Rhinolophus ferrumequinum: one gene and its partners. The protein of the gene in region 2 interacts with the protein of the main gene of each other region in a biochemical or structural test. Links are inferred from orthologs where the notes say so. Each region holds a gene or a part of one and is shown on either strand. Other genes may lie near its edges. The genes, in order: ATP2B4, CASK, F11R and FCHSD2.

Region 1 (7,231 bases), on a different chromosome or scaffold from region 2:
CAAATCTGACTCAGCCACTCCCTTCCACTATTATTGTGGGAGCATTAGCCCAGATGAGGTTGATTCCCAGGCTCCCCCCAAAATGCCACTTCCTTCTTTCAACAAACATTGTCCAAGCACCTTTTAGTTTCTCAGGTACTGTGTTAAGTACGGGAGCCGCCGGGGCTACCAGAGCTGCGTTCTTTCGGCTTGACCTTGAATTCAGCCCGGGACGCGGAGGTGGACAATCGAAGGGAAAAGGACTGTGGCCCTCTCCTGCGTTCAGAGCACCTTCTGCACAGAGCCCTCGGACCAAGGAAGAGCCGGGAGTGGAGCTGAGGCGCTAGGGGAGGGGCGGCGGCGCGTGCCAGCACAGAGACACCGGGAGAGCGGCCGCGGGTTCGCTGCGTTCCGGATACCGACCCCACAGCTTACCGCCACCGGAGCAGGCGCATGGGTGCACGCTAAATTGGGAACTCTCCCCGAACCTACCAGAATCTAGTCCTAGTCAGAGCACTGAAAATTGGAAGGTCGGCTGCAGGAATGGTGCACGCCCCCAGAGGGAATGGGGCGCGGGGAGGGTCCGGGGAGCGGCGTGATTTAAGGGGTGTACTTCCGCAAGATGGTGGCAGGGAGGATGGGGCTCCCGTGCAAGTGCCAAGAAATGGATTCTCCCCCTCTCCTTCCGACAGAACAAGGGCAGGATCCTATCTTGGGTCCCCTAGCCCCTGGGGAAGGCCTCATTCTCTTCTTGATTAGAATACAGGGAGGGAGGGAAGAGCTGTCTAGCCTTAGGGTGCAGTCAGGTCAACCGTCCAACACCTCAAAATGAAAACAGGTTCCTGTTGCTTCCCCAGCCCCCATTTAAGCTCTCCTCCAAGTCATTTACTTCCTTCTTTCCAGTTTCTAAGCTCTCTCTTTTACCACCCCCTCCAACCAAACTGACTGGGGCAAAGGGCAGGTGCTTCCTCTCCCCCTGGATTGAACCCTACAGATGTGTCAGCTTCAGGTCCAGGACAACCTCCCAGAGCTAGCTCTCCACGTCCCCCTACCCCGCCCCCCCAGCCTAGCTGCTCACTAACCATCAGAGCCATCACCTCTTCCTGCCCTCCTCCTCATAAACCTTCCTCCAGCCCGTCTCTCCTGACCCCAGGACCCTCTCCAAGGCCTCTCCCAGCCTAGGAGAACCCTGGTCTTTTCCCTTCTTCCTTGTGAAGAGGGCCCCAGCTGAGGGGGGCTGGAGGGGGACCTCCACACAGGAAGGTCTGAAGGAACAGCTCTGGGGAGGGGCTCAAGGAGCGAGGGGAGGATCTTAAGAGAGGAGGATCTCCACCCAGAGGAGGAGGTGGCGCTGTAGCATGGGATTTTACTTCCCCTCCCCCTAGCGGCGTCAGTTGAGGGCCCGCCTATTTTTTCATCTGACATTCCCCTTACCAGGCCAGCCCGCGCAGACTTCGCCTCTGCAAGTTATTGTAAGTCCATGAGGAATGCCCAGGAGAAAGATGTCTCTGGCCAGCAGGTGCCTCCCAGGTTGTGGTTGGCCCCTCCCGCATCCTCCATACCCAGCAAGAGAGAGCCCTGGTCCTTCTGTGATGGAGGAGTGTGCGAGGCTGGACTCGTCCGGGAGAGGATGCCAGCCAGCTTCCTCCACCCCAAGAGCGAGCCAAGTATGTGAGTGAACATACGTGTGAAGGGAGGCTAGGAGGAACAATACAGCCTTAATTTCTACCTGTTCAGCCCCAAGACGTTCTGGGACACTCCCAAAGATGCCTGCAACCAACCCCAACCGCCAAACACTCACCCCTACAGTCAACAGCCTTGAAATTGCAAACTTTCCAACTTCACTCCTTCTCCTTTCTCACAGAGATACATGGGGCGGTGCCCTCAGATACACTCATACAGTTGGTTCTTGACGCTCCACTCACACTCAAACAACAGCAGTACAGGGAACTCCCAGCTTTTTCCACAGCTAATTATAGACGTGAAAGTCTGAGGATGTTTTGCAAGTGGCAGAGAGAAACTGCTGAGGTTTCTGTATAAAGCAAAAAAATTTAATTTGTGTACTCCTCTTCCTCACCGCCCAACTTCTAGCTCCACCCAACCCCCAGTGAGCCCCTCTCCTAGTCTTCACTGCAGCCCCTCCTTCTTGTTGAAGATTTCCTACTTGGTTCTTTCCCCCCCCCCCCGTCTCTCTTTGGGGCTTTCGAGAAAGGGAACAGACGCGGAAAATATTTTTGCAACAGTTTTCCATTTGGCATCTCATTCCCAAGCCAAGGGGGAGGGGAAAAGCAGGAAAGGAAGAGGGGTGCATTTTGGGTGTGAAAAAGAGTCCCTCCATTCCCCTACCCCCACGGCCCAGGAATAACAAAAACTAGGAAAAGAAAAAGAAGTCATTTGTTTGATTATACGGTTTTTCAAAACTGAGTCTAGGAAAGGAATACAGTATTTGACAAATCTGTGCGCCCGCGCGCGCCCGCGCGCGCGCGCGGACACACACACACACACACACACACACAGTCGCAAGAAATATGCCAGGAAGAGTAAATTCGGGAGTTTTAGAAGCCATTGAGAGGAAAGAAAGAAACAAAGTTTGTAAATCGCGAGTCAATTCATTCTCTGCAAGCCTACCTCTTTTTCTAGCAAAGATCCAGGCTTCTCCAAGCAAGACGCTCCCTCCGGGTTTCCATGGACAGGGTAGGGTAGGGGTGACCACCACTGGTCTCCCCAGTGTGGCAGTCACGCTAGAGAATCTGGCTTTAATCTCCTGCCTTTTCAGCCACCGCCAGGGAGTGGGCAGGGTCTCCTCCCCCCGGTCCTCCCAGTAGGAAGGACCTCTCAGGTTCCTGGAAGAAAATAATGCAGGGGAGCTGGGAGGGTGTCTAAGATCTGGCTTTCTTCGGAAGGATGGTTACCCAGGAAGTTCGTGTCTTCCCCCTCAACCCCCAGCTTTGGATGGTCTCAACAGCGGAGCTTTCTTAAGAAAACGCTTGTCATGGCAACAGCTCGAGCCAATTCGACCAGACTGTAGCTCACCACCTCTCCCCAGCAGTGCGGGAGGAGAAAGGGGAGGAGCAAGAGGTGGAAGGGAGGTGGGACTTGGCGAGAGGCCAGACTAGCTCTCCACTGTTAAGGTGGCCCGATTGCAATCTATGGCTTCTTCCTGGTTCGTCTTAAGGGGGAATGGAGAAAGGAAGGGGAGGAATCCTTTCTTCTCTCGGAGTTTCCTCCCCGCCCTTGCTCTCACTTGTTGAAAGTAGGGTGGGGGATGGAGGTGGGGAGTGGATGTGGGTGGCGGTATTTAACCGTTGCTGGGTGGAGGGAAAAAAGGAAGCTTCTGCCGGCGGTTGGCTTCCTGCAGCTCTTTTTGGGCCTCTCAGCCTCTTACTCACTTAGACCCAGGACCCAGAAACCCAAAAACCCAAGGTGTCTGGGGAAACTTGTATCATCCACTTTCACCCTCTCGCCCCTGTCTGAATAGGGAGCTCACTGGAGAAGCATAAGGAATTGCTTGGGTTACACACACACCTACACGGTTTTGCTTATACACACACCTTAGTACAGTCTTCACCCATATTTCACACACACCATTCTTGGTCACGTTTTGCTCCCTCTTGCCTCTGTACCCCACAGAGGCACATCCCCAGCACATGATAACAGCTGCTTACTTTTGAGTCCTACTATGCATGGGCTATGGCACCAAGAGCTTTGTTATATGGTTTCCTTTCTAATGCTCATGGCAATCTTGAAAGGTACTTATTATTATCCTCATTTCAGAGTTGAGGAAGTTGAGGATCAGTGACTCGCCCAAGGTTACACATCTGGTTAATAACAGAGCCAGAAACAAAACCAAGTCAGAGTCTCCTGTACTTTCCTGTGCTTGTGTCATACTCTGGCATGCATTTCCATTTTAATTTGCACACACTCAGATACCATGCACATTTATACACAGCCTATAAACTGTTAATCATACCCCTGCAGCCACACACCCACCAGCATTGTGCAACAGTGCCACCCATAGATTTTTGCCTACAACTTTATGGCTTTCAAGTACAAACATGTACCATAATTGGTTCACACACCATGTCTTCATTGACTGAGCTATTCCCACACCTACCTCAGCACACACACTCGGTCATATACATACGCTTATGGAAACCGGGTTAGAATTGTAAACTACGCTGTGAAGAAGGTGACCCACCACAACTTCAGGGGTTTGGGAAGAGACCTCTTTGACTCACCCATTCTAACCTGACTCCTCACCCCACAGGGTCCTCCTTTGCCCCAGGACGAAGACCCTCATGCACACTGAGAAACAGAATTGTGAATTAGCCCCTGGGCTCTGGTTTCCCTCTGCCCATTAGCGTCCTTCCCGAATTCCTAACATTTGGGTCCTTGCTTTCCTCTTTTTACTTTCCTATCCTACTATTTCTCAACAACTCATCCACATCCTATTTCTGAGCGAGGGAAAGTTAAACAGACAAAAGTGAAGAAATTTTTTAAGAGTGGTTGGGCTTGGCTCAGAACTCAGAGTTCCCCATGTGGCGCTAGAGATTGCCTGCTGCCATCTAACTTGGGAACCAGATCCAAGATAAGCCCCTGCCTGTCCTTGTGCCCCTTCTCCCCAGCCCAGCCCAGCTGATGGAAGGTTACAAGGGAGGGGAGGGGAGTTTAGGGTTACCTTCTATGGAAGCCATCCATGGATTGTTCTCCAGCAGTCTTTTCTTCCTTGGAATTGAAGGTCTCATACTAGGAGGACACCAAAGGTGAGATTTTTTTTCTACTCCCTGCCCCTCTCCAAACATCTCTGGTCCTCCCCACCCCACTCCCCAGTTCTTTAGTGGAAGAACTGATGGCAGGGATAGAGATGGTACCTTGTTAGAGTTTGGAAGGTCCTACCAAAATGTAGCTTCAGGAGCCCAGATCAATTGTTAGTGAAGACAGAGAATGAATGGAAAGGAATCAACTGGACAGGGCTTCAGATTTGATGGCTTGTTAAACTCTGTGCTAGATTACAACAATTTGACATTTCAGCTCCTAATGAGTGTCAGTTGCATCTTTATCGTGAGAAAGCCAGTCTCTGACATGGTGTTTTAAATGTATTAAAGTATATTTTCAGCTTGACTGCAGTGACTACGTGGGGAGCCATTGCCTAACTGTTCAGTAAACTGGTCTTAGGGGAATAACAATTTAGGCCATATGTGTGGTCCCATTAAAGGAGAAGTCTGCTTTGGCTGCTGGCACGTGGAGCTGGAAATGATGCCTAGTTAGTATTTGAAAGGCAAGATCCTCTTCTCAAACTCCTTGGTTCTAGGGAGGCAGACTCTGCAGGGGAGGTGCTGCCAAAGAGGCTCTGATGTCTCTGCCCCACCTCTGGCTGGTTGGGATTCAGGGCAGGCCAGGAGTTTGACTTGCATGATAGCCTGTAGGTAGCTCCTCCCTTCTCTCAGAACCCAGTGTTCCCCCATTCCCAGTGGGGGTTTGTGGGATGAGAGAAGAGGCACCCCCACCCCATTCCAACCCCTAGGCTCCATATAGACAGGAGAGAAGGATGTGAGAGGTGGGTCAAGGTGGTAACTCCAGGGGCGGCTGCAGCCTGACGACTAGCTGAGCCCACCACCAAAGCTTGCCTTTCCTGGAAATCCAGAAGCTTCAGTGCCTTGCTCCTTCTAGCAGCAGGCTTGAGGTCTAAATGGATAAAAATAAATCTACCCATAAAAATAACCACTGAATGTGGGAAAGTGGAGTTGTGCCCCTTTCCCCAACCATGGCAAGAGGGAGGGCACAGCCTCCGCCATCAAAGTTCTTGATTGGGCTGTTGGATATGGCTGGCTGCCCAAGCAGCTTAGTAGCCCCATTGCCTTCTTATACCTGCTGTCTTCTTGACTTCACAGTTTCTCTGCTTCTTTAGCTCTATCCTGGCTCCTCTTTCCTGGGTGTCATGAACTCCCTTCAGCAGGTCAGTCTCGGCATTGTTTTCATCACTGTGCACCCTGTCCCCACCCATCTCTCACTTGAAGAAAATGCAGTCAGCTTTGACTCTCCCTTAAGTGCGTAACAGAATATGCTCCTCTGGCCTCCTGAGAGCTCCACTTTGAGTTCCCCAAACCACCCTTGCCATTTCCCCCCACCTCCTTTGAATACAAACTGCATCTCTCCCCAATTTTGTCTGTCTAGAATAGCAACTCTCTACCCATACCCAGATCTAGTGCTTTTTAAAGATGGTCTTTCTCCTCACTCTTAAGATAGGAACTGTCATTTTATTTGAGGTCCCACCCCTAAATGATCCAAACTGAGCTAATTACATCCTTTCCTGGGATTTTTAAACTTAAAATCAAAGAGTATCCTTCCGGCAGTAAACACTGTGAGGAATGAGACTCTGGAAATATCAGCGGCCATGTTCTCTGTCATATAGAAGAAGCTTGCCAGTAGGAAAGAGTAAAGCTAACATGTGGAGAGAGGCAGAGAAGAAAGCTGAAGGGTGAGTCCTGTCAGCATTTGAGCCAACTGTACCTCATATCTTACTGTACCCTTGCTGTTTCTACAATGAGTTAGTTATATGACTCATTATGCATGCATAAGCTAGATTAAATTGTGTGGGTTTTTTTTTTCACTTGTCCTAAATAATATAGAAATGTAATATAGAAGAGGATATAGAAACCCTTTGAGTTGGTACCTACCATTTAGGTACACTCATTTTGTTACCGGAGAGTGGGCCCTTTTCGGCACAATGTCCAGGTTCTTGGCATCTCAAGCAAAGAATTGAATGAGATACCGAGACAAAGTAGTGAAAAAGAAATTTATCAGAAGAAAAAGTACACTTCAAAGAGGTAGAAGTGAGCCTGAGCAGAAAGCAGTGGCTCAAGGCCATTATTAGAAGAGAAAGTACACTCCAAAGAGTTTGGACCCGGGCCCCAGAGCAAAACCAAGGCTCAAAAGGTGCTGACTGGCAAGGTGTAGTGCAGGGGATCCTGCCGACTTCTCCATGTGTCGTGCAGGGTGTCAGGCGGGGTCTCTGGTCCCACTCCCCACATAAGAACGCAGGACATGGTGAGGCCAAAAAGGAACACCCACGGAGCCATAGGTAGGGGAGTCACACCACTATACTCTCACTGGCGGCTGGGTTGGAGACACAGGAACCAGGAGCAACACAGTTCTCAACCCTCACTGTGCCTCTTGCAGACTCAGCCACTGTCTTCTTGCTAGCTCCCCCCTTTTTTTTTTTTTTGCTACTAGCGTAGCCATGGCAGTTATA
Region 2 (7,471 bases):
ACAGAAAAGGAAATTTTAAGGAGGAGGTACAAATTTAATTCCCCACTTTACCTTCAAAATCTCTCATAGCTAAGTCAGAAGGAAAAATTCTAAATGCTGTGTGAGATTTAAATTTGTTTTTTTCTACACAAAATATAGCTCGTAGAACTAGTTTCAATTAGTAGAAATAAATCCAATGCCCCCTTTTCTGGCCCTGCTCTCTTGATACTTCTTTAGCTCTGATACTATTGACTCTCCCTTCATCTGTGAAAATTGTATTTTTTCTGTTATGCATTTTCTTCCCAAGAATCCAACCACTTTAACTGTTTCTATTGGATCCTCAATCTCTTCCTAATTATGACTGATTCTCTAATCCAAATCAAGAAACATACAACTATTTATTTATTTAACAAACACATACGGAGTACTTACTATGTTCCAGACACTTTCTAGATTCAAGAGTTGAAGGAGAAAGGCTATAAACAAAACAAATAAAAGAGAATTCCAGGAAGTGATAAGGGCTATGAAGTCATTCATTCATTCATCATTCAACAAATGCCTTTTGAATACCTACTACATACCAAGCACTGTTCTAGATGCTGAGAATTCTCTTTCATAGACCTGAATTGGGCCTCTCCATGGTGAGCAAGATGGGACAAGGAGTTGGAGGCAGGAGCCCAGTGAGTAAAGTGAGGCAACATCTAAGTACGGGTTGAGGGTGGAGTTGATTGGGGTGGAGACTGAAGAAGTGGAAAAGAAAGGCACAATCCAAAAGAAATTTTGAAAGAAAAATTGACAGAGTCTAATTACTAGCTGAACATGGAGAAAGTAGAGTGCTAAGAAAAAGCCAATGCCAGCGCTTGGGTATCTAGGAGAACAGGGAGCCTTCCCATTATTCATTCTGCCCTTCTCCTATCAAAAAGTGTCCTGACTTTCCTTTGGGGACTTTTCCCATCCCTACATTCTCAGCCATGAGATTGATTCTCATGCCCAGCTTGAGGGTGGGGCCTGATTGGTTAAATGATTCAGTGACTCATTCCGTGGCTACAGAGATTGGTTCAGGGATGGTCATGTGCCTTAATACAAGGCAAGCAAGAGACAATAAATCCTAGAACATGGGCAAGATCTACTGGACAAGACTCCTCTTTTCCTGGATGCTGATATATAAGAAGGTGAAGTCTGGAACAGTAGCAGTTATTTTGCTACTTCAAGGGGAGAGCATGGAGCTTTGGGGGCCACCTTGCGGAACCTAAGGATGAAGGCAGTACCACAGAATGCACAATGATGAGACTGGGAGAAAGTGGATTTTCAGTGACATCATCTGAGTCCTAGATCAAGCCTCACATGAAGCTATTATACATCTCAACTTTTCAGTTACGTAAGCCAAGGATTCTCTGTACTGTTTAAGCTGGTTTAAGTTTTCTGTTACTTGTAACCAAAAGAATCCTGACTATTGCAGTCTCCATTAGCACATAGCACAGTGTTGAGTCCCCAGGAGGCCAATGAGCACTTGTGATCTTAAGTGGCTCAATGAATGGATACCTTTTGATTTCATTTTGAGTTACAACATGTTCAGTGTATACAGGCACTGTGCTGTGTCCAAAGGCAATCTTGTTTCTACTGTCAAACAAAAGTTTCCAGTGACTTGTTCACTGATATTAAAGGAAGAAGGGTAAAATGAATCTTTAGACAGAGGTTTACAGAAGGAAACACATTTGTATTCATATCCTCTTCTGCTCCCTGAAGTGTTCTTTTGCATTTGTTATGGTTTCTCCACCCTAGTGATGAAGTCAGCCCTGGCTCCTTTTTTCTTGTCAGTGAGCTTATTCAGAGGCCAGTGTTAGGGCAGTGGTTCTTAATTTTTAGGTGTACAAGAGTCACTAAGGGAGCTTTTAAAAATATAGATCCCTGTGTTATCCTCCAGGAGATTTAGATTCAGTAAGTCTTGGGCAGGGCCCAGGAATCAAAAAGTTTTAACGTTTTTCATATGATCCCAGATGACATGGATGCAGTTGTCACTTTGAGAAACACCACTGACTTAGGTTGGGTTCCTCCAAAGCAGATCCTGATAAGGGGATTCATGAGCAAATGATTTATTAAGGAAGTACTCCCAGGAGAAACCTATTAGGGAATGAAAGAGGTAGGAAAGGGAAGGGGAGGGAGCTAGGCAAAGTCCTGCGGAGGGTAGCTGCAACCTGATCCCACAGGGAAGCTCAGGATGTAAGTAACCTCTCAGAGTTGTCCCCTCTCCTAGGGAAGGGAGCTGGGCTTTCACATTCCTGCACTAACAGCCAGATGGGGCAGACCTAAACTCCCAGGCACTTCCATGTAGGCAAAGTGATTCCAGTAGCTTGTGGGAAGTCCTCTGAAGTCACAGGCATGGGCTTTGGAAGCAAAAACATGCTGCAGCTGGGGGAGGGGCACAGAGAAAGGTAAAAAAACGGATAGGAAGGAATTTGAGTGGAGCACTTACAGTGTCAGCTCCAACCATTTAAGGGATTTCAATATTTAGTACAGGAATATCTACATTTTAAATGTAACTAAGGGAGAGGATAGTGTGCACCAAATGAAATGTGGGACCCTCAACAGAAGCAATTCTCAGGCTCTAAAGCTCCCTTCTCTAGAGAATGCACAAGCACATTGGGAAAGGAGGAAAGTCTCCTCATACAATTATATTTTCTCCTCTGATTTGCATTTTTTTTAAAAAAAGGTTTAGTACTCAAATCCTTAACAGTGGCAAATCTCTCAGCCTCTGGAGGGAGTGGTCAAGGATGTACATAAAACGTTTCTGAAGAGAAAATAGGCTGTGGGTCTCCACCCACCCCACACACTTTGGTAAATACTATGTTTTCTTTTTCTTTTTTTAAATTACCGCACTAAGAATTTTACCAGATGATTTCTAGAAGCCGACTTATGAACTAATTGGGCACTTCTGCTGTGCAGAGGAACAAAGACTTTTTTTTATTGGTCCTCAACTGAGCCATATACCTGTCTGATGGCGTTGGCTCATTCCGCACATGCTCAGTGGAACAGAAATCTTCATATTGAATACAATCTAGCACAGCGGCAACACCCAGAACCGCACTCCCTGGTTGACCCTGTGCATCCACTCCCTCTAGTTGATTTTTTATCCTGAATTGTCTAACATTTATAGGGAGTGTAGGGAGCAGAGTAGGTCCTGTGGGCTTGACGGGAGGTGGGGAGCAATATACAAAGGGGCTTAAAGCCTGTTTGTTCCTGCCTTCCTGACCTCTCTCTAGGCTGTCTCGAGAGGGGGCAGGAGCTGGGTAGATATTTGTTAAGTTTGGGCAGAATGCGGGAGAAGCTGTCCCTATAAATTGCCATTTGTTGTTGCACACCTTCGTGGACAGTTTTTGTTTGGTCCGGTACTTGTAGGTGGACGACCCCCCTTATCCAGCCCTCCTTTTCATTAAAGAACGACAGAGTGGCATTAAAAGCATTCGCCGCCTGGCACAGTCTAGAAGAGTGACAACCTCTCCACCTCTTGTTTTCCCATTCATTAGGACCCTTTCCCACAAAAACCGGGAAAGGCTTCCTGTGGTTACAAAGAAGGGGGTTAGAGCGACTGGGATTCTGAGCCTCTCGCCGCAGACAGCCAACAACATGCGTTCGGTCGTGGACCTTTTGTCCTGGCCCCTTCCGCGGCTTGGTCGCGGAGGTGACGACCCGGACCAGCCACCGCCTAAGCAGCTGCCACCCGCGCGCCCCGTGGGCCAACCCCCGCCCCTTTTAGAACCGCGGCACCCGCCCGTTCGCCGTGACGTGACCGGCGGCGCGCGCATGCGCCACTCATCCCTGTTCCCTTTCCTTGGGCCACCGCCCCCCGACGGGCTGGAGTGGGCGGGGCCTGTGGGTGGAGAGGCAGCGCGGCTGTAGCGGGAGGAGGGCGTGTGTGCGCCGGGCGGGTGCGCGGGGTAGGCGAGCTGGTCGGCTGCTGAGGCGGAGGAGGAGGAGCTGAAGGCGGCGGCCACGGCTCCCGCCTGCAAGGAGAGCCAGTCCCGCGAAGCCCCCTCCCATTCCCAGGCGGGCGGCGGCGGCGGCGGCGGTGGCGGCGGCGGCAGCGGGAGGAGTAGAAGGAGGAGGGAGCGTCTCTGCCGCCGCCTCCTGGTCCCCAGCGCCGATCTGCCGCCGCCACCTCCCTCCGCGGCGATCCTCCCTCTATGGTCCTGCCGCGGCCCCTTCTGTAGCCCGAGCTGCCCCGCGCCGTGCCCGAGCCAGCCTCAACAGAGGGAGCGGTCGCGACCTCGCGGCCCGCGCGGGCTGACGAGCGGAGAGCCGGGCCGCGCGGTCCCAGAAGATTCGCACGCCGGGCAGCGCGGCCCGAGCAGCGCGAGGAGCAGCGGGCGGGCGGGCGGCGCCGGGCCCGGGCCGCCCTCGCTCCCGCGCCCCGGCCCGGCCGCCCGCGCCGGGGCAGTCGCCCGCAGAGGAAGGCGCCGCAGTCTCTGGGCCTCGCGCCCCACTCGAGCGTCCTCAGTACCGGGGGCTCGCGAGTCCTGAGGGGAGGAGGCGAGCCAGGGGCCGGGCACTGAGCTCTTTGGCGCCCCCACCCGCGTTTTTGGAGCCCTCCACGCTGCGGCCGCTGTCCCCTCCGGACCATGGCCGACGACGACGTGCTGTTCGAGGATGTGTACGAGCTGTGCGAGGTGATCGGCAAGTGAGTCTTCACGCGAGGGAGCGGGAATGTGGGAAAATGCATTTCAGTGATGCCCGGGTTCTCCCGTACCCGCACCCGCTCCGGGCCTGCCCCCTGCCCTCCCTCACCTCCACCGCCCTGGTCTTCCTCACCCCCAAGCATTTATAGACGTGTACCTGGACCTCCTGCCGGGCGGGGGTCTGGGGAGTTCCCAGCGATCCGTGGAGGTGAACGAGCCGAGGTCGGCCACCCCTTGAGGCGTGGGGCCGGCTGAAATCTGCTGTCTGCATTTTATCTGACGGTTGCACAGGGACGTGGCCGAACCGATTTTATAGTTGCTTCCTGGGAACAGTTGGGATTATTGTTACCTTGTGTGTAGCACAGACCATTGACAAAAAAAAGCAGCTTGCATTTCCTTTGCTTGCGTGGAAAGAAAGAGAACGTCCAGGGTTTTTAATTGTGGGGTGTGTGTCTATTGTGCAGGATATTAGATAGATGTCTTTGTGTTCACCCCATGCCCGGATCGGAGGGGGTCATTTGAGACAGGGTACGTTCAGTTTCAGCAAATTCCTCACCTGGTATAGACGAACGTGGAAAGAGTTGGGGGGATCCGAATTTTTAATGCCTCGTTATGCAATGACTGTTAAATCAGTGTTCAAGGCTTCCCTCGACTGTTGTTGGGATGGTGGTTAGCGTGGTAGAGCCGTCTGCTTTGAGTCACCGGGCTGGTCTAGAATATAGAACTGACAGTCCAAATGCTCATCCTTTCATCTGTGTTGTATAATTACACTAGGGAAAAGCAGGGAATCAGATTAATCACAGTGCTGATTGAGAATTAAATCTGCAGTTCCTCATCTAATTGTCCATTCCTTAAATCTGTTTTGAATAGTTTCCTTTTCATTCTTGTCAAACAGTATTCCAAGTGCACAATCCTGCTAATTTGCTCGTTTGGGAAATGCTGGCAATCTGAAGTTGATTTCGTAGTTCAACGTGTATTCTGTGGGTTTTGAAGTTGAGATAAAATTTAAGAGCAATTCTTGCTTATTTTTTAAGGATTACTAGATAGCTACCATTGAAATATTTCACCTCTTTTTGGAAGCGGTGCTTTATTGTCTATTTTAAGGTCTGTAGTTGGGAAATGAAACGAAGATCTTAGAGCAGTTGGCTCTCTTTTAAGTTGTCTGCAGGGCTGGATTTCAATTTAAGTGCTGATAACTCATTTTTTCCCTTCCATGTTGAGGTATTACAGTGTTTCCTCACATGGTGAAATTGTGGGTAGAGCTTGCTGCACACTTTCCTCAGACCCAGTTGATAGGAGGACATGTTACTCCTTGTCCCTATTGTTTGTTACATGACCAGCCTGTCTACTATAAGAATATCCAAATGTGCCCCTGGTGAAGTAATTGTGGAAGTGCTCTAGAGCAGCGCTGTCCAAATGATATATAATGTGAACCACATGTAATTTTATATATGTAAATTTGGCATATGTAAATTTTCTAATAGCCATATTAAAAATATTAAAAACAAATAGATGCAATTAATTTTAATAAAATATTTTATTTAACCCAATAGATCCAAATTATTAAGATATTTTACAGCCTGTCATACTCAGTCTCTGAAATCCAATGTGTATTTTACACTAACAACACATCTCAATTCTGACACTACGCTACATTTTCATAGGAAATACTTGATCTGTATTTAGGTTTCATAAAATTTGCATTTGCAAAAGTAGATTCACATACCCAAGTTGTTCCAAACATACCTAAAAGTTTTCCAATAATGGATTCAAGTATCTTTCTAAATTTAAATTTAAATTAAATAAAATTTAGTTCCTTAGATGGACTAGCCACATTTCAAGTGCTCAGTAGTCATATGTGAATAGCACAGTTCTAGACAGACAAATACGTAACAAAAAAAAATCCCTTTGGTTTCTTTATTCTTAGCACCCAGTGAAGGTGAATTAGGTGCTAAGCCCCCAATGATTGTGTCTGTATGGGTGAATGATGTTTGTTATGTCTTAGTTATATTTTATTTAAATGAGCCAGCAAAGTCATAATTGGAATTTGTGAGATTAAAATGTTAATTATATTGTGGTGATGGAATATAGCCATCATTGAATCAATGTTAGTTACTAGTTCTGATTCCTTAAGGTCTGGAAGAGTGACGATGTGATCTCTTTGAATATCGAAAAGAAGTGGTCAGCATCGCATTAGCACAACCAATATTCTGCTGACTTATAACTGATACAATATTCTCAGGAAACACCTCTGATCGAAGTAAATTCATCTCTTCTGTTGCCTCAGAGCTGCATAAGGAGGGAGAGCAAGCTAATTTTGAGGTGATAGGTGCTCTATGGATACCTTAACTAATGTGAATGTGAAATCTCATTCATATCCTACAAAATCTGACTTGGTCAGTGCCATTTATGTCATTCCATGAAATAATGAAATTCAAGGTAGCCTTTGTGGGAAAGCATGTAATGATAGTGTTCCTCACCCTGTGTAAAGGTTGAAGGTTTCTCCGGTAAATTGTCTCAGCATATATTGATCTGGAAATTGAAATTCACTTGCGATTTTCTTACAGGAACCTTGACAGCATACATTTTAACTTAGAATTTGTTCAACTCTGGATTTAAACAGAAAGGCCTTGAAGATGTTCATTTGTACTGAAAACCTTTTTGTTGACTTCTATCCAAGTTCTCTGGAATTGTGATTTTCTTTTATGCCAAATTAGTATCACAAGTTGGTTTTGACCCCTAGGTCTTAATAAGTTTAAATTTTCACTGAGATTCTTTAAAATGGATTTCACTTTTCAAGACCAGTTGACCACCTACTC
Region 3 (6,963 bases), on a different chromosome or scaffold from region 2:
ACACACACACAAAAAACAATTCTTTCATTATCTTACAGTGGGGAAGTTATTTCCATTCAGACCTGTATGACTGGCCTCTCTTTAATCATGTCCAAAGTCTCTGTTGGGCACGTAACACTGTTCACCAGTTCTAACACGTACGTGTCCCTAGTGTGTTCAGTTTCTTCTGCACTTCTCCCTACTCCAGATCTCCTAACGTCCATTTCCTCTGCATTCTCAGCTTATGACTTTCCCTCAGACTCCACTGAGAACAGAAGAAATCAGACTGAGATTCCACCATCTTCGCAACTGTACCACATACTTGACTCTTGTGGTGCATGGTTGTCTCTGCTCCCTTGTAACCCTCAGCTTGAGCTCTGGAGCCCATCTTCTCTGTCCTCTGGAACTTGGTACTGCAGCTATCCCCTCTTCTTCATACAGCGTTAACTTTTTCCTCTCTACTGGTTCATTGCCATTCGCATACAAGCATTTCCACATAAAGAAAATCCCTATTCTGTCTTCATCCAACACCCCTCCAGCTACTTCATCTTTTCTCTGTTGTTCTTCTCAGCAGAATCTCGATTGAACTGTCTAGACTCACAGCCTTTATCTCCTCAATTTACACTCTCGCTTTAGCCTTCTCCATACAGGTTTTGTTGCCCTCCCCAGTATCCCACTGAAACTTCTTTCGAGGTGACGCATGTGACACAGTTAGGTGACTGGGGAGGGGAGAGCCTTTGCCCTAGTTGCCTCTCTTCAGTGGAGGCAGTTCCCAAAGAGGGCAACACCTGGGGGATACACCCCTCCTTCCTGAAGGGGAGTCTGGGTAGCATATCACGGCATCCACATGCATAAAACCCTATGTTCCAAAAAGGATGCAACAACTTTATTAGACAGTATGTCTAGTTGTGGCTAAGGGGAAATTGAACAGCAGAGTCAGATGAAGACAGGATGAAGTCAGGAGTTAATTTGCAAATGTGGATTTAGTCTTCCTTGAGACCAAAGTAAAGTGACCAACAGGATCATTTGTAAAATTCAAGGTATCCATAAGACACACATATGACAGAAGTGCAGCGTTTCTCCCCAGGACAGAACATTGGGGAGGGAGTACTGTCAGTGTGCCATGGCAGCTCGGCCAGAGGTCACTTCAGGATTGTTTTCAACTCCGTCCTTGTTCAGTATCTTTATTAACCTATTGGATTTGTCACAGAGAGCATGTTTATGAAACTTGCATGTAACACAAATTCAGGCGCAACTGCTAATATACTGGATGACAGAGTCAAGGTTTATGTTTTAATAATCTCAGAGTTTTCTACTTTGCTGACAAACTCTCCAGTTTGAAGTTTACAAAATCTGCTATTTTTTAAAAAAAGACTACAGAAAACAAATGTCAATGACAATGAAATTTAAAAATCTATTATTTATTTAAACACCTTTATGGGAGAAGGAAATGGGTGAATGTCAAATGATTTGCATGATCCACAATTACCTTAATGCTTTGTAAATGGGCACACAGCTGTTTGACACAGAAATAACCGGATGCATACAATTTGTACTTACTCTCTTTAATAGTAATCAGTAACATTATTTCACGTCTACTTTTCTTTATATTAATATTTCATTTTCAAAACAAGAAATAAGAAGTTGAATAGGGATACATGCAAAACAACCTTTGATCAAGAAAGAACTGCCCAAATATAGGATGTGAGACCTGATTTAATAGTAGTCCAAGTGAAAGTAAAAGGTCGTGGGTTTTAGTTTGCTACAAATTGACTATAATTCAATAGTGTCATTTGGCTATTACATTTGCAAATACATTCTTACATTGTAAGAATGTTGAAAATAGCTACCATTTCAGTATTTAAAATATACTTGGCCCCAATGCTTAGCTTATTATCCTTGTTTTGCTATAAGGTAAGTGATACCACTATTACCATGACTGCCTTAGATGCAGAAAGTTTCAGAGAGATGTGTGCTGGCTAACCACAGACGGATAGCTAGAAATTGAGGATCTGGGTGTGAACCGAGATCTGTCCATCCCATGGAGAGGTGGTTTCTCCAATGCCTTGTTCAGACCTTGGTCAGTAACAAACACAGGATGATCCAGCAGAGGGACATTAATACAGGTGGGGGTGGGGAGGCTTGTGAACACGTACGTACATAAGAAGACTCTTTGAAGGCTATAAAGATGTTCAGCTTGGAAAAAGAAAGACTTACAAAGCTCATAATACGTATCTGAAAATACTGAAAGGAAGGGCTGCCATTGGCAAAGAATAATTAGATATTTTGTGAACTCTAGAGAGCAGTGGCTGAAAGTTACCAGGAGGCAGATTCCAATTTGTTAAAAGGATATTTTAACAATTAAGAGTTGTACCAAAAGCAGAGTGGTCCGTCTTGAGAATATTTAGAAGAGTTTAAGCAGTATTGTATAAACTCTTGGTGGTTATATGGGTCCTCCTATGTAGTGTGAGAGGAAGACCTAAATGACCTCTAAAATGACCCTTCCATCTAAAGACTTCGATCAGTCTCAGAGTTCCTTACAACCCCTGCGCAAGCTCCCCCATCTGCAAGTTTCCTCTGCCGGTCACAGCCCAGTCGCCGGTCTCTTCTCCAAGCTCCTCCCTCTTCGCCTCTTCACCCTCATACTTAACTTTGTGTATATGTGTCTGTCTCCCCAAGAGTTTATTTCCTTTGAGGGTAAAGAAGAGAGCTTTGCACATGGTAGGCAAATATTTGTTTCGATTTAGTAATATGAAGTTTCTCCTCTGGTTATTGTTTCCTGTACTTCTCCTAGAAGTAGACTGTAAGCCATTTGAAGCCAGGGATTGCAGTTAGTATTTGTTTGTATTCCCCTACAGCACCCAGTAGGTGCTTGATAAACATTGCTTTAAGTACGGCAGAACCAGAAGTGGATCTTGGCCCAAGATACGTGAACCAAGGAATGAAAACAAAGATAAAAGGAGCAAAAGGTCAAGGAATATCACTGTTTTGTATAAAAGTATGAACTTTTTATGTGCAGTGAGATAATGATCAGGAAGTTTTCCCACAGGTAACGTGGGTACACAAAGATCAGTTAAAATTAAATCATTGTGAAGTAGAAACTACTAACAGTAAAGGTGTTGAACATGAGTTTCAATTAAAAATGATGTAACAGTATATTAACAGAAAGGTTTAGTATCAACATAGTCTATAGAAAGAGGTGGTTAGTCAGCACCCAACCATTAGTCACCGTGCAGATAATTCTGAAACAGGGCTCTTGTGACAGATCGCGCACGTTGAAGGACATACTCATAGTCACAGTGAGACTCACAGAGCATCTGCGTGTCCATTTGTGTTATCTGGTGTACTTATGCTTGAAGTCCTTGAGACGAGTAATCCTACTTTCCCCGGTCTCTCTCCCGCCCTCCCTTTTCCTTCCCTCCTCCCAGCGCAGGCCCTCTCGAAGCTTGTGAATGCTGCCAGTGGGGTCGACAGAGGAACACGGTTTTGGGTTGTATCATGGTCCTCTAGTCTCCTGGTCCTCTCCCCCCACCCCTCGCATATTATTGAGGTTTTCATTTGATAAAGGACGCGCCCAAGGTTTCTCCAGCACCCAGTAACGTACAGCCAAACAAACATCAAAAAAAAAAAACCTGGCGGGTTTCCGCGGGGTGCGCGACACGACCGCCTTCCCTACCTGCCCCTTCCAGGTACCCCCTACTGCAGCTCCAACCCAACCCCCATTCAGTCCAAGAGACCCTACTTCGGAAACGCCGCCCAATCCGAGTGTGCTCACCTGCAGAAGGTGAGGAGTCGGTCTCCTTTGGCGACTGTTTTCCAGCCAATCAGAGGCGCCACGGGCTTGAAAAGACGCCCCTCAGCCTCACGGGGAGAGAGGTGGGCGGAGCTGCACCTGGCGGCGGTGAGTCACTCAGAGGAGCGGCGGCTGCCTCCTCCAATCGGAGTGCGCAGGGGCGGGGCGCCGGCCAATCGAGCGCGGAGGGCGGGCCGGCGGGCTCAACCTGTGGGCCCGAGCTCCGTCCGCGCTGCTGTGCGCGAAGCTGGGTCTGTCCCAGGGCTCCGGCGGCCGTTCTCGCGTCGGGATCCTGGTCGTCATGGGGACAAAGGCGAAAGTCGGGAGGGAACAGTCGCTTCTCTTCACGTCGGTGATCCTGTGTAAGTTCCCGGAGTTTCGGGAGGAATTGGTGGGTCGGGCCCCTCCCGCGGAGGGGAGGAGTCCAGAAACCTGCCCGCCGCGCCCTCCGGTCCCGCTCCGCTCCCCGCCCCCACCCGGCGGCTGTGCCCGCTCCCGGGGCTCCCGGCCAGGGAGCGGCGGGGTCCGCAGGCGCACACAGCGCGGGGCGCTGGTTCCACTTCCCCGCGCTCACCCTGGGAGGGCCGGTGGGCGCGAGGGCCCTGCCCACGGTCACGCGGGCCGCGCACCTGGGAAGGGTCACCTCCCTAGACCACCCAGCCACCGGGCGCAGCAGCCACCAGCCTGTCACCGCCGACTCCCGGGGCCCCTCCCTGGAAGCCCTGCTCCTTCAGGGGCTCCAGAGAAACTGATGGAGGCGGGTGGGGGGTTCTCTCCCCGGCTGTTGCCCCGCACCCCGCGTCTTTGCGGGGCGGTGGCTGCCCTGGGAAAAGTGGCTGGGTGCAAAGTCTGAAGAGGAAATACAGCTGAAATCTGAAATTGCTCAGAAAACGGCATTCATTGTTCCTTTCGGGGATAACCCGAGTCCTTAATAATCGGTGTTGAGTGACTGGCTGGTCCGGGCGCGGTCGTTGGCTGGATCCTCCTCGGAGCCAGTCGGAGCCTCCGTGAGGCTCGCTGGCCTGCCGGGACCTGCCCGTCCCCGGTGCGGGGGCCCCCGTCGGCGGCCTGTGTCCGCACCTGCCGCGTGTCCGTCGTCTGCGCCCTGAGTGTCCTGCCCACGCTTCTGTGGGTGCTTGTGTCAGTCATTCTGCGGTCGGCATGAATCTCTGATTTTCCCTCAGGGTCCATGTTTTAGGAAATGTTAAAGGAAATGATCAATTACCGTCGATATCGGCAGTTCTAAGGCCATTCATTTTGCTCAGTTCTGAAGGGTGGAGACAGGGTTCCTGCCCGGAGACAGATGGACTGACTACTCTGTCACAAACATTTGTCCCTTGTCACAAAAACATAAGCCTTTGGGTTGGACTGGACTAGAGGCGAGCCTAATGGCCTCTCCATTGTGTAGATAAGGAAACAGCTCCAAAGAAAGGAAATGACTTTTCCAGACTGACAACAAAGGTCTCCTGACTGCCTTTGCCTTTTTACCTCCAGTTTCCATTGTCTGCCTACCCCACCTTTTTACTTCTGCCTGGATCTCAGGACTGTTGTTGACTCCACGTTTGTTGATTGTGTGTGATAGTCAGTACTGAAGCCTGCCCGGCCCTGTACTGTGCCTCCCTCCCCCAAACCTATGAGCTGCTCTTTCTGAGCCAGTGACTCTGCACTATATTTGTCATGCTTGTAAGCTTCCTGGAGCTGCGACCTTCTCCCCTTTTTCCTTTTCTTTCCTTCCTCCTAATTTTCTGTGCCACATAATAATCACACTGGCTCCGAGAGAGTTGTGACAGCACCATTCTGAGGTTGGGGAGGTCCTGTAGTCTGTTCAGGGAATCAGAAAACGGGTTCGGAGGCCAACCCAGGTGACGCTGCATCAGCTTGACAGGACAGTGGGCCCTGGGAAGTCACATGTCCTGGGCTGGAGGAACCAACCCTGTAACATTTAAATCAGGCTGGACTTCGTCCTGTAATCCAATCCCCATCTCGCTTTCTTCAATCTTCTTTACGTTCCCTCCTTAATTTGAAATGCATCAAAGAAGCTGCAAAACTTTTATGCTGTGGGAGCATTTGAGGTCTTGCTTCTGGCATATGTCATCAGTTTGGCTGAAATAAACATGTAAAAATTCTCTAAATAAATTAATAAATAATCAGGCTAGCCCTGGGGAGAGTGATTTGATTAGTACGCTGAGGATGGAAATAGGAGCCAGGCCGCCTGCCTGGGGTCTGGCTTCGCTCTGCCTTATCTGTGATCTCAGGCCAGTAGCTCCGTCTTTTCGTCTGTAAAACAGGAGCAGTGACACTTGTCCTAACCCTGTCCTGACGATTTACCAGTATCACGGCTGCATTACGTACACATGAAGGCGTACTGGGCAGCTGTGGTCCCCTCTAGATTCTGTAAGGATGGAAGAATCTGTCCCTCGGAAAGTAGGTCAAAGAAAGCAGGGAGAGACTTTGATAGATCCCCAATGGCAAAAGTTAAAAAAGTAGGGGCTCGCTGTTGAGCATCTAGTCTGTCCTGTAACCCCTGGGATGTCAGAAGTATGTACAGATGCCTGCGTGTTCTGCCTCCTCCCTCCGGGGCTGCTGCTGTCTGAGGAAGAAGACAGAGCAAGACATGACTGACAATTAAGCAAAGGCCGAACCCCATCCTGGGAACCTAGAGGAGAGGGCGGTCTGAGCCTGCTGGCCAGGGATTGGCAGGGGTCGGAGGCTAAACTCGGAGAACAGGGCTTGAGAGAATATCTGCTAACGAGAGCACCAGTCCCCTGTCCCTAGAGAGCCTGTGCTTAAACAAGTCTCCAGCTGTCTCCCAGGCAGTGAAGAGGCATTTTTGCTTAGCAGAGAGGCATGTGAATAGGACAGGGGAGAAAGGGAAACCTAGTTTAGAATGCTGGTCTTTGCCCCCGCCCCCCGCCCCCCTTTACTGGAGTGTAGCGTCCCCCTGAGACCATCCAGGGTGGAGGGACGGCCCTAGGTCTGGGCCATCTGTGAACCCTGCTGTTCCTTGCTGATGTGCTTTCTAGCTCTGCCGCATAGGGTCAGGCTTGCCCTCAGAGGTGGAGACTCCAGGATCATCCCCCCTTTCGTCTCCCTCCCTCTCCCCCAGTTGAATTTACTCCCAGGAAAGAACTGTTTCCTTGAAACCAGAAACTAGAAAAACCAGACACTAGAAACAGGCCACAGCCAGAACT
Region 4 (7,137 bases), on a different chromosome or scaffold from region 2:
TCCTATGACTCTCCTGGCCCTGCATGTCCTCAATTCACTGCTGTGACCTTTTGTCTACGTGTTGAGATTGGGAGCTCTTGGAGTGCATGCAGGGCCTGGCGCTTACCCCAGAGACCTGCTTATGACTGAACCCAGAACAAGGGGATTGTTGAGTGATGCTGGATGGTATCTGGTTCTGCCACAAATTCACTCTGTGTCCTAGGGAGAGCCCCTGCCCTCTTCTGGTGGTCACAGATCTCAAAGCCGCATTTCAGCGGGCTGTGATTCTCTTGTCTGAAGAGCAGACGCGTGGAGGAGACATACCCCCATGCCAGGCTGGCCGTGTTAAGGGGATTAGCTCAGGTAGGAGCAAAGGCCCCTATGTGTGTGCCTGTGGGATGGAGGTGGAGAGGGAAGGTGACTAGGGTAGAAGGAAGGTGAATAGGAGTGGGGTCCACAGACTACATTGTCTGCAGCTAGGCTCTGCGGGGTGCAGGCAGGAAATAACTGGCATCTGTAAGTGGGGGATCATGACAGAGCAGGAAAGGAAGCAGAGGGTCTGTGAACCCCAGCTGAAGGGGGGTGGTGCAGTATGGGCAGATGGGTTGGTGGCCACCTTCTCAGCAGAGAACCTTGGGTGGAGTGCCCGCCTGTCCTGGGTACCCACTCTTCACTGGGCTGGGACGCTCTTCATGTTCTAGCCATGTCCAAGGGCTGCTGCACACACTGCCTCCCCGGGGGTTTTCCTGAGAGTCCTGGAATATTGGAATGGCTCATCTTCCAAAGCCCATTCATATACCTGCTCCAGGCCAGCTTTCCATCCTGGCTCTTAAGCTTAGAATCATTTTCCTTCTGGGAGACTGCACAGCAGCACACACACTAGAGGGAGAGCACAGCTGCAGAGCTAGAGGGAGCCAGGGGCCAGGCCTGCTCTCCTGTCCTAGCTGTGTTACCTTGGGCAGGTCATTTTACCTTTGAACCTCAGGCTGTGAAATCTGTGAAATAGGGTCATATTTATCACGAGGGGTTGTTGTCAGGGTTAGAAACAATATAAATGACATGTCTTGTTCAATGCCTGAAACATGGAAAAGGTAACATAAATGGTAGTGGTTATTCCTTCCCAGGGTGAGAATCCTCCTTGATGGAAGGAAGCCAACACCTGCTTGCACAGCCCCAGGGATGGGGGAGTTTGTCCCCTCTAGGGGTGGCTCTGCCTAGAAAACCTCCTTCCCTAGATGCAGCTGAGACCTGTCCCAGTTCTGTCTCTGGAGCCACACACAGTACATGCTACTCTGTGGCCATGGGACAGCTCTGTGGCATCTCCCCCAAAGAATCTTAAGAAATCTTACGGGTAACATGGTGCTTGCCTGCTTTGCAGGAGAAAGGCTCTGGAAGTCTCCAGCCTGATTCAAAGGTGTATATGTGTATTTTAATTCAGGCTTGCATAAATCACAGAAACCTTTTCCCCCTCCCTGTGACTTTGGAACATATGGATTGTAACCTCCTGAGACTGCTTTTTTCTTGGGTGAACTTTCCTAATTCCTTTGAACATTCCTCATAGAGGCAAATGGGAGAACAGGGTTCTGGTCCCAAATCCATTACTTCAGGGCAAGTCACTTCTATTCAATGAGCCTCTAGTTCCCCATTTGTAAAATGAAGAAAATACTATTTCATAGGTTTACAATTAAGATTAGCTTGGAAAAGTAACATGAAAGTTTGGAGTTTGGAAGTTCCGGTGGTAAATATTAAGTGCGTACTTTTAAAAATCATTTTTGAAAAAGCAGTTAGTAGGCATGCCCATCTGGTGTTGCCCCTTAGTTTTATAAAACCTCCAAAGGAAATTATTCCAGAAAGTCAATGCCATTCCTGGTTTCACAATAACGGCAAATAAGGTGGGGGATGCCCTCTTAAATTCATAAAGTGAAGCCTCAGGGTTTGACTTAATCTGCGAAGAGTCTATTAAGGTCCAGGCCCATTCACTTACTTTATTCTGCAGTTGGAACCAAGGCCCAGAGAAAGCCCAGCAGATCAGTGGTAGAGGCTGAATCTAAGTCGCCCAACATCCAGCACACTTATAGCCCCAGTGCTCACTGCCAGAGGAGGACGGTGAAGGGAAGATAGTCTCTGGGCCAGACTAGATACACGCAGGACGAGGATTCAGCAAATCTTTCTCAGGCACCTTCTATGTGTGGGCCACTACCTCTGGGCAAGCACTCTTACCGCTCCCCCACTGGCCCAGGGTCATTCATGGAATGGTTGGTTGGTCAGCCTTGGTGAAGGCCTAGGCTGACACTGTTTTGCTCATCCCTCTATCCCTGGTGTTTGGTACAAAGACTTGGCAAAAAGCAGGACCTTAGCAAATATTTTTGAATGAATGATGAATCAGTGAGCATTTATTGAGCACTATGTACCAGGTCTTGTGGTAGGAGAAAATCTATTTAATACAAGCCTGCAAGGCTGATATTATATCCCCATTTTACAAGTGAGGAGATAAAGGCTGAAAGAGTTGGACTGACTCGCTCAAGGCCTCGCAATGAATTGGTGGTGGAGCTGAGACTGGAGCCCAGCCTGGCTACCTCTGGCCTGGGCTCTAGGTATTGACCCACAACTCTCAGGGACCTGGGCCTCCATCCACCTGTTCTCTTGCCCCAGGCCTTCCCTGATAGTAACTGAGGACCCTGCAGAAGGGCTGACTTTTGAATGGCCTCAAGGAGACCAGAAATAGCAAGCTTGGTCTCCTAGTTTACACATAGCTCTAGATTAAATCTGATTCAAGCATAGCTCTGATTCTATCACCTTCATGTACAATAATCTAGGCTAACTCAGTGTAAACAACCTGGGTTCAAGTTCCATCTTCCCAACTTCTGGCCATGTGGCCTTGAGCAATTTACTTGGGTCTCTCCAGGCCTCACTCACTTTCCTGTTTTGCCTGACTACACTTCTGAGAACAGGTGTCAGAGATGCCAACTTCTGATAAAACTATGGGGCAATCTAGTTCACCCTCTACACAGCCCTGTGGCTCCAGAAGAGGGATTTTCATTCTTCTAAGGACTCCAAGAGAGGCAGATACCCCTCCTGCCAGATGGTCTGCAGAGCAGGAAGGTACTGGGGTCGTGCGGTGGTGGGTGTGGGGGCTGCCTGGATGAGCATCTTCATTGGCAGATGAGGCAGCCCAAGCTCACTTAGCCAATTAGAGGCAGGCAGAGTGGACCGGCATCCAGAGCTCCTGATTCCCAGACAAGGGCTTCCTCTGCCCCTGCTGCCTCCTCTACTTTTCCTAATGGATCGTCTGCACCTGTTTCTTTATAACCCAAAGAACCCTTCGTGATCCAGAGATTCTAGTCCTACTGTGTGACCTTCAGAAAGTCTCCAGTCCTCTATGGGCACTATTCACCCCATCCATAAAATGGGGGCCCTGCCTTTAACGACCTAACTGTTCCCTTCCTGCAGAGTCCATGCTCTTTGACTTGAATGCCCTGTAGCAGAGAGCTGTTCTTTTTCTTTAAAGGGGAACTAGACACTCCCCCCGCCCCCCAACAACAGTCAGGCACCTGTGATCTGCTGTGATAAGACTTGCTAATGCTGGCTCCCTTGGTGCCTATCTGCCCGGCCCATTTGCTCGGGAGAGAGGGGTGTTGGAGGACCGAGATGAAGCGAAAACCGGAACTCTCCTACTGTCACAGGCATACTGACCCCTTATCATTGTAAAAACTTCACTCTGAACGTCCACGACCCCCCAGCCCGCACAAACACTGCAGCCGCAAAAGCCAGCAGGAGGTAGGGGCTGCTTGTGCGCGTGCGTCGGCGCAGAGCCCTCTCCCGCCCACGTGCGCGCCCCCGATCGGAGGCGCGCGCCTCGGCAGGCTGGCGGGAAAGCGCGCGGGAAGCCCCCGGCTGGCTCCCAGTGTGGGGGAGGGAGGACAGGAGGCGTTTGGAACGTGCCACTCTAGGGAAGGACGGGGGGATTTTCGTGCTCTGCTAATGTTCCTGCCCCTCCTATTCGCCGACCGATCCGTTAATTCCCCCCGTCCCCGCCACGATAGGGAGCCCCACGCCGCGGCCACGGGACCTGGAACCCGGCTCTGGCCTAAGCTGTCCCCTCCGCCGCCGGAGTGGGGCGCTGCGCCTCGCGGTGGGGCCGGAAATTCCCGCGGCCTGAGTGGAGGAGCTGAAGCTGAGAGCGCGGCACCGCCTTCACCTCCCCGGGCTGGGTGGGGGCGTCAGGCCCAGCGAGGGCCGGGCTGCCTGAGTGGGGGCGGGGGACCGCGTCTGTGAGGAGCCCCGGAGCCGACGGCTGGCGGGGAGCCGGACGACGCGGCTGCTCCTCGAGAGCCGACCGGCGAGCTGGGAGACTGAGCCCCAGCTCTCGGGCCCCCGCCCCCTCGCGGTCTCCGCCTCCTTCCCTCACACACCCCCCAGGCCGCCAGAGCCCCAGGCTTTCCCGGCGCTCCTCCTCCTCCTCTTCACACTCGCCCTCCGACCCGGGTCCTCCTGCCGCCTGCCGGCCTTGTTCCCTCCCGGGCTAGTCCTCGTTCTCAGGCTCTCCTTTCACACACACACGCGCCGGCTGGGCCGTCCCCTCCCGTCGGCCCTCCTTCTCCTCGTCTTAGCTAACGCCGCCGTCGGTGGAGGATTGATGTCCCTTCAGCATCATGCAGCCGCCGCCGAGGAAGGTGAGGGTGCAGCAGGGGGGCTTCGGGGCTCGGGGAGGATGCGTCCAAGGAACGCGGCTGGGGCGACCGCTGCGCCCCCTCCCCCTTTCCTCAACCGGCCGTGACCGTCGTCGCCTCTGGCTTGTCACTGAGATTCCGCCGGTTCTAGGCGGGGGGGCACGGGTGTGAGGTGACTTTCCGACGGAGGGGTGGCTGAGGTTCGTCCCTTCCAGTACGCGAGAGACCCCCGACATTTCAGAGGAGTTTCGGGTGTGCATTTGTGTGTGTGCGCGCGCATGGCAGTGCTGCTCGCTGCAAAGTGCATTCTCGGGGCTGCACCAAGGGGAGGCGGGGGAGCCCCTGCAGCTTTGCAGAGCCTTGTGCTTGTGTGATTGTTTAGTCTGCACCAGGTTTGAGCCCTCCAGCTGCCTGTCGCCACCCTCGCCCATTTTGCAAATTTGCAGGGAATTTGTTTTTAGCCCAGCCTTAAGGTTTGGCCTGCTTTTCCCACGGGGCGGGCCGAAAAGAAGTTGGAATAGTCATCTCCCCCCCCCATCCCAGGGGAAAACAAGAAATTAAGCATTGACCAGTCAGTCCTGCCTTTCTCTGTCCCCCACCCTATTCCTGCCCCGTCCCTCCGGGTAGGGGGCCAGGAGGCGGTGATGCTGTCCTCAGGAGAGTGAAAACCGGGCAGTGCGTGGCGGGTGCACCGCGATCTGGATTTGGGGTGGGAGTGACGGGTGCTCCGGGCTTGTCAGCAGCTTTACTGCTGCACTTTCTGAGAACTGTTTCACAGCCCTCTTCACGTTTCCCAGGGGCTGAGTCTGTGTCCTTGTCTTTTTAATCCTGCAGATAGTTACTGAGTGTCTACTCTGGGCGCTGGGTGGAGGAGGCTGTTCTATCCTCCCCTCGTGGGCAAACGTTTGTTGAATATCTAACTCACTCGTGTCTGCCTCCTCCTCTTTCTTTCTTAATCCGGGTTTCTTCAGTTAAGTAAGTCTTTTTTCTTTAAAAAACGTACCCCGACCCCTCCGGGTAGCCTCACTCCGGCGGTGGGGATTCCAGGCCCACTGTAACCTGGAATCCTGGGGTCCCGGCCTGGCGGGCGAGGCACTGGCCAGCTTGCATTTGCTATTCTGGCTCTTTAAAGTGGAGCCGCGGCGGGGACCGGCTTGCTGGGGTGGCTTAGAAGCACTGCATATGCTGGAAGGTCACTTTTGCTTTCTCCTTTGTGAGAAAGATTGTGATTTGATGCGCTGTCAGCGAGTGGAGGGCATCATCCAGAGACAGTGTGCTTTCTTGCAGCCATTATGGAATAATTTATGTAGTCCGTTCATGCATATAATTTCATGATTGTGTAAATTTCAGTCATTAGATATTAGGCATTCTTATGCTCCCTTCTCCGGGCTACACTCTGCTCAGTACTTCTGGTGGTTAATATCTTTGAATCCTTTTTGGAAGAAACAGAAGACAGACTCTTTTAAAACTCTAGGAAGACCTAGATATGTACTGAGCTTGTGCATGAAATTGAATGACTAGCAGTTTATTTTGCACCTCTTTAATCTGTAATTTTTACACTTGTGTACTTAGATTTAGCCTCTGTTTCAGGTTATTTGGCTAATTTTTTTTCATACTGAGTATCTTCAGTAAACAAAATTAGGTGGCTAATAATGGATTTCTAGTTTCCAGGGGAGAGGTGCGCAAGAGGTGTATATTCTGACAAGTATTAAGTATTTTCCTTAAGCAGTTTTTTTTGTTTGTTTTTTGTTAAAGTTGCAGTAAGGCCTTCATAAATATATGGTGTATTTTAGGTGAAAGTTACACAAGAACTGAAAAACATTCAAGTTGAGCAGATGACAAAACTTCAAGCCAAACATCAAGCAGAATGTGATTTGCTTGAAGATATGAGGTAAGGTTATAGTAAATAGTTTGAGAACTTCTGTATCTCTGTTTCAAAGAAGCTTTGAGTTACCAAGCCCCAGGAACTGATGATGGAATTTCCTTTTGGATTTCCTGCTTTAAGGCTGTTAGAGCTTTGACTCAGCTAGAAATTATAACTGGAACTAACACAATACAAACTTTTTTTCCTTTAGTGGGGGAACCTATAACTTACACATACTATTATGAAAAAACAAGGGTCTTAAAAGTTTATCTGTCAAATTATAATCATTGAAGTTGAAATTCTTATTTAAATAATCTTTTTACTGAATTATAACATTTATTGACCTTATCGATTTCACACTGATTTTTAAACTAACTCCTCTGGTTAATGGTTAATATCTAGGGGTGAGCCGGTCAACCTGAGATGATTATATACTAGCGTTATTTGTTGGAGCATGACAGACACAACTTTATCTTTGAACATTAAATTTAGTGAGAAATGTGTTTATCATTAAAATTACCTCTGTTCATAATCAAGAAAACTTTGAATTTAGACATTATGCCAATTGTGAAAATTGGTATCTTTCTTTATAGAGGGAAGCATGACTCATTTTACTGAAAGAAA

Evidence for each region.
Region 1: the proteins of CASK (region 2) and ATP2B4 form a complex in vitro, tested with the Homo sapiens proteins (2 studies listed by BioGRID and IntAct, with this or other methods). The link is inferred for Rhinolophus ferrumequinum from reciprocal best matches to the Homo sapiens genes CASK and ATP2B4.
Region 3: the proteins of CASK (region 2) and F11R form a complex in vitro, tested with the Homo sapiens proteins (2 studies listed by BioGRID and IntAct, with this or other methods). The link is inferred for Rhinolophus ferrumequinum from reciprocal best matches to the Homo sapiens genes CASK and F11R.
Region 4: the proteins of CASK (region 2) and FCHSD2 form a complex in vitro, tested with the Homo sapiens proteins (2 studies listed by BioGRID and IntAct, with this or other methods). The link is inferred for Rhinolophus ferrumequinum from reciprocal best matches to the Homo sapiens genes CASK and FCHSD2.

Annotation. Positions count from the first base shown.
Region 1 is NC_046305.1:27,391,404-27,398,634, forward strand, and holds the start of ATP2B4 (plasma membrane calcium-transporting ATPase 4), read right to left. Parts: upstream 3,018-7,231; 5' UTR 2,608-3,017; intron 1-2,607. UniProt on the Homo sapiens protein: Calcium/calmodulin-regulated and magnesium-dependent enzyme that catalyzes the hydrolysis of ATP coupled with the transport of calcium out of the cell. By regulating sperm cell calcium homeostasis, may play a role in sperm motility.
Region 2 is NC_046284.1:92,023,948-92,031,418, forward strand, and holds the start of CASK (peripheral plasma membrane protein CASK), read left to right. Parts: upstream 1-4,453; 5' UTR 4,454-4,595; coding exon 4,596-4,654; intron 4,655-7,471. UniProt on the Homo sapiens protein: Multidomain scaffolding Mg(2+)-independent protein kinase that catalyzes the phosphotransfer from ATP to proteins such as NRXN1, and plays a role in synaptic transmembrane protein anchoring and ion channel trafficking.
Region 3 is NC_046305.1:2,235,024-2,241,986, reverse strand, and holds the start of F11R (junctional adhesion molecule A), read left to right. Parts: upstream 1-3,941; 5' UTR 3,942-4,073; coding exon 4,074-4,134; intron 4,135-6,963. UniProt on the Homo sapiens protein: Seems to play a role in epithelial tight junction formation. Appears early in primordial forms of cell junctions and recruits PARD3.
Region 4 is NC_046294.1:48,435,342-48,442,478, reverse strand, and holds the start of FCHSD2 (F-BAR and double SH3 domains protein 2), read left to right. Parts: upstream 1-4,136; 5' UTR 4,137-4,631; coding exon 4,632-4,652; intron 4,653-6,442; coding exon 6,443-6,540; intron 6,541-7,137. UniProt on the Homo sapiens protein: Adapter protein that plays a role in endocytosis via clathrin-coated pits. Contributes to the internalization of cell surface receptors, such as integrin ITGB1 and transferrin receptor.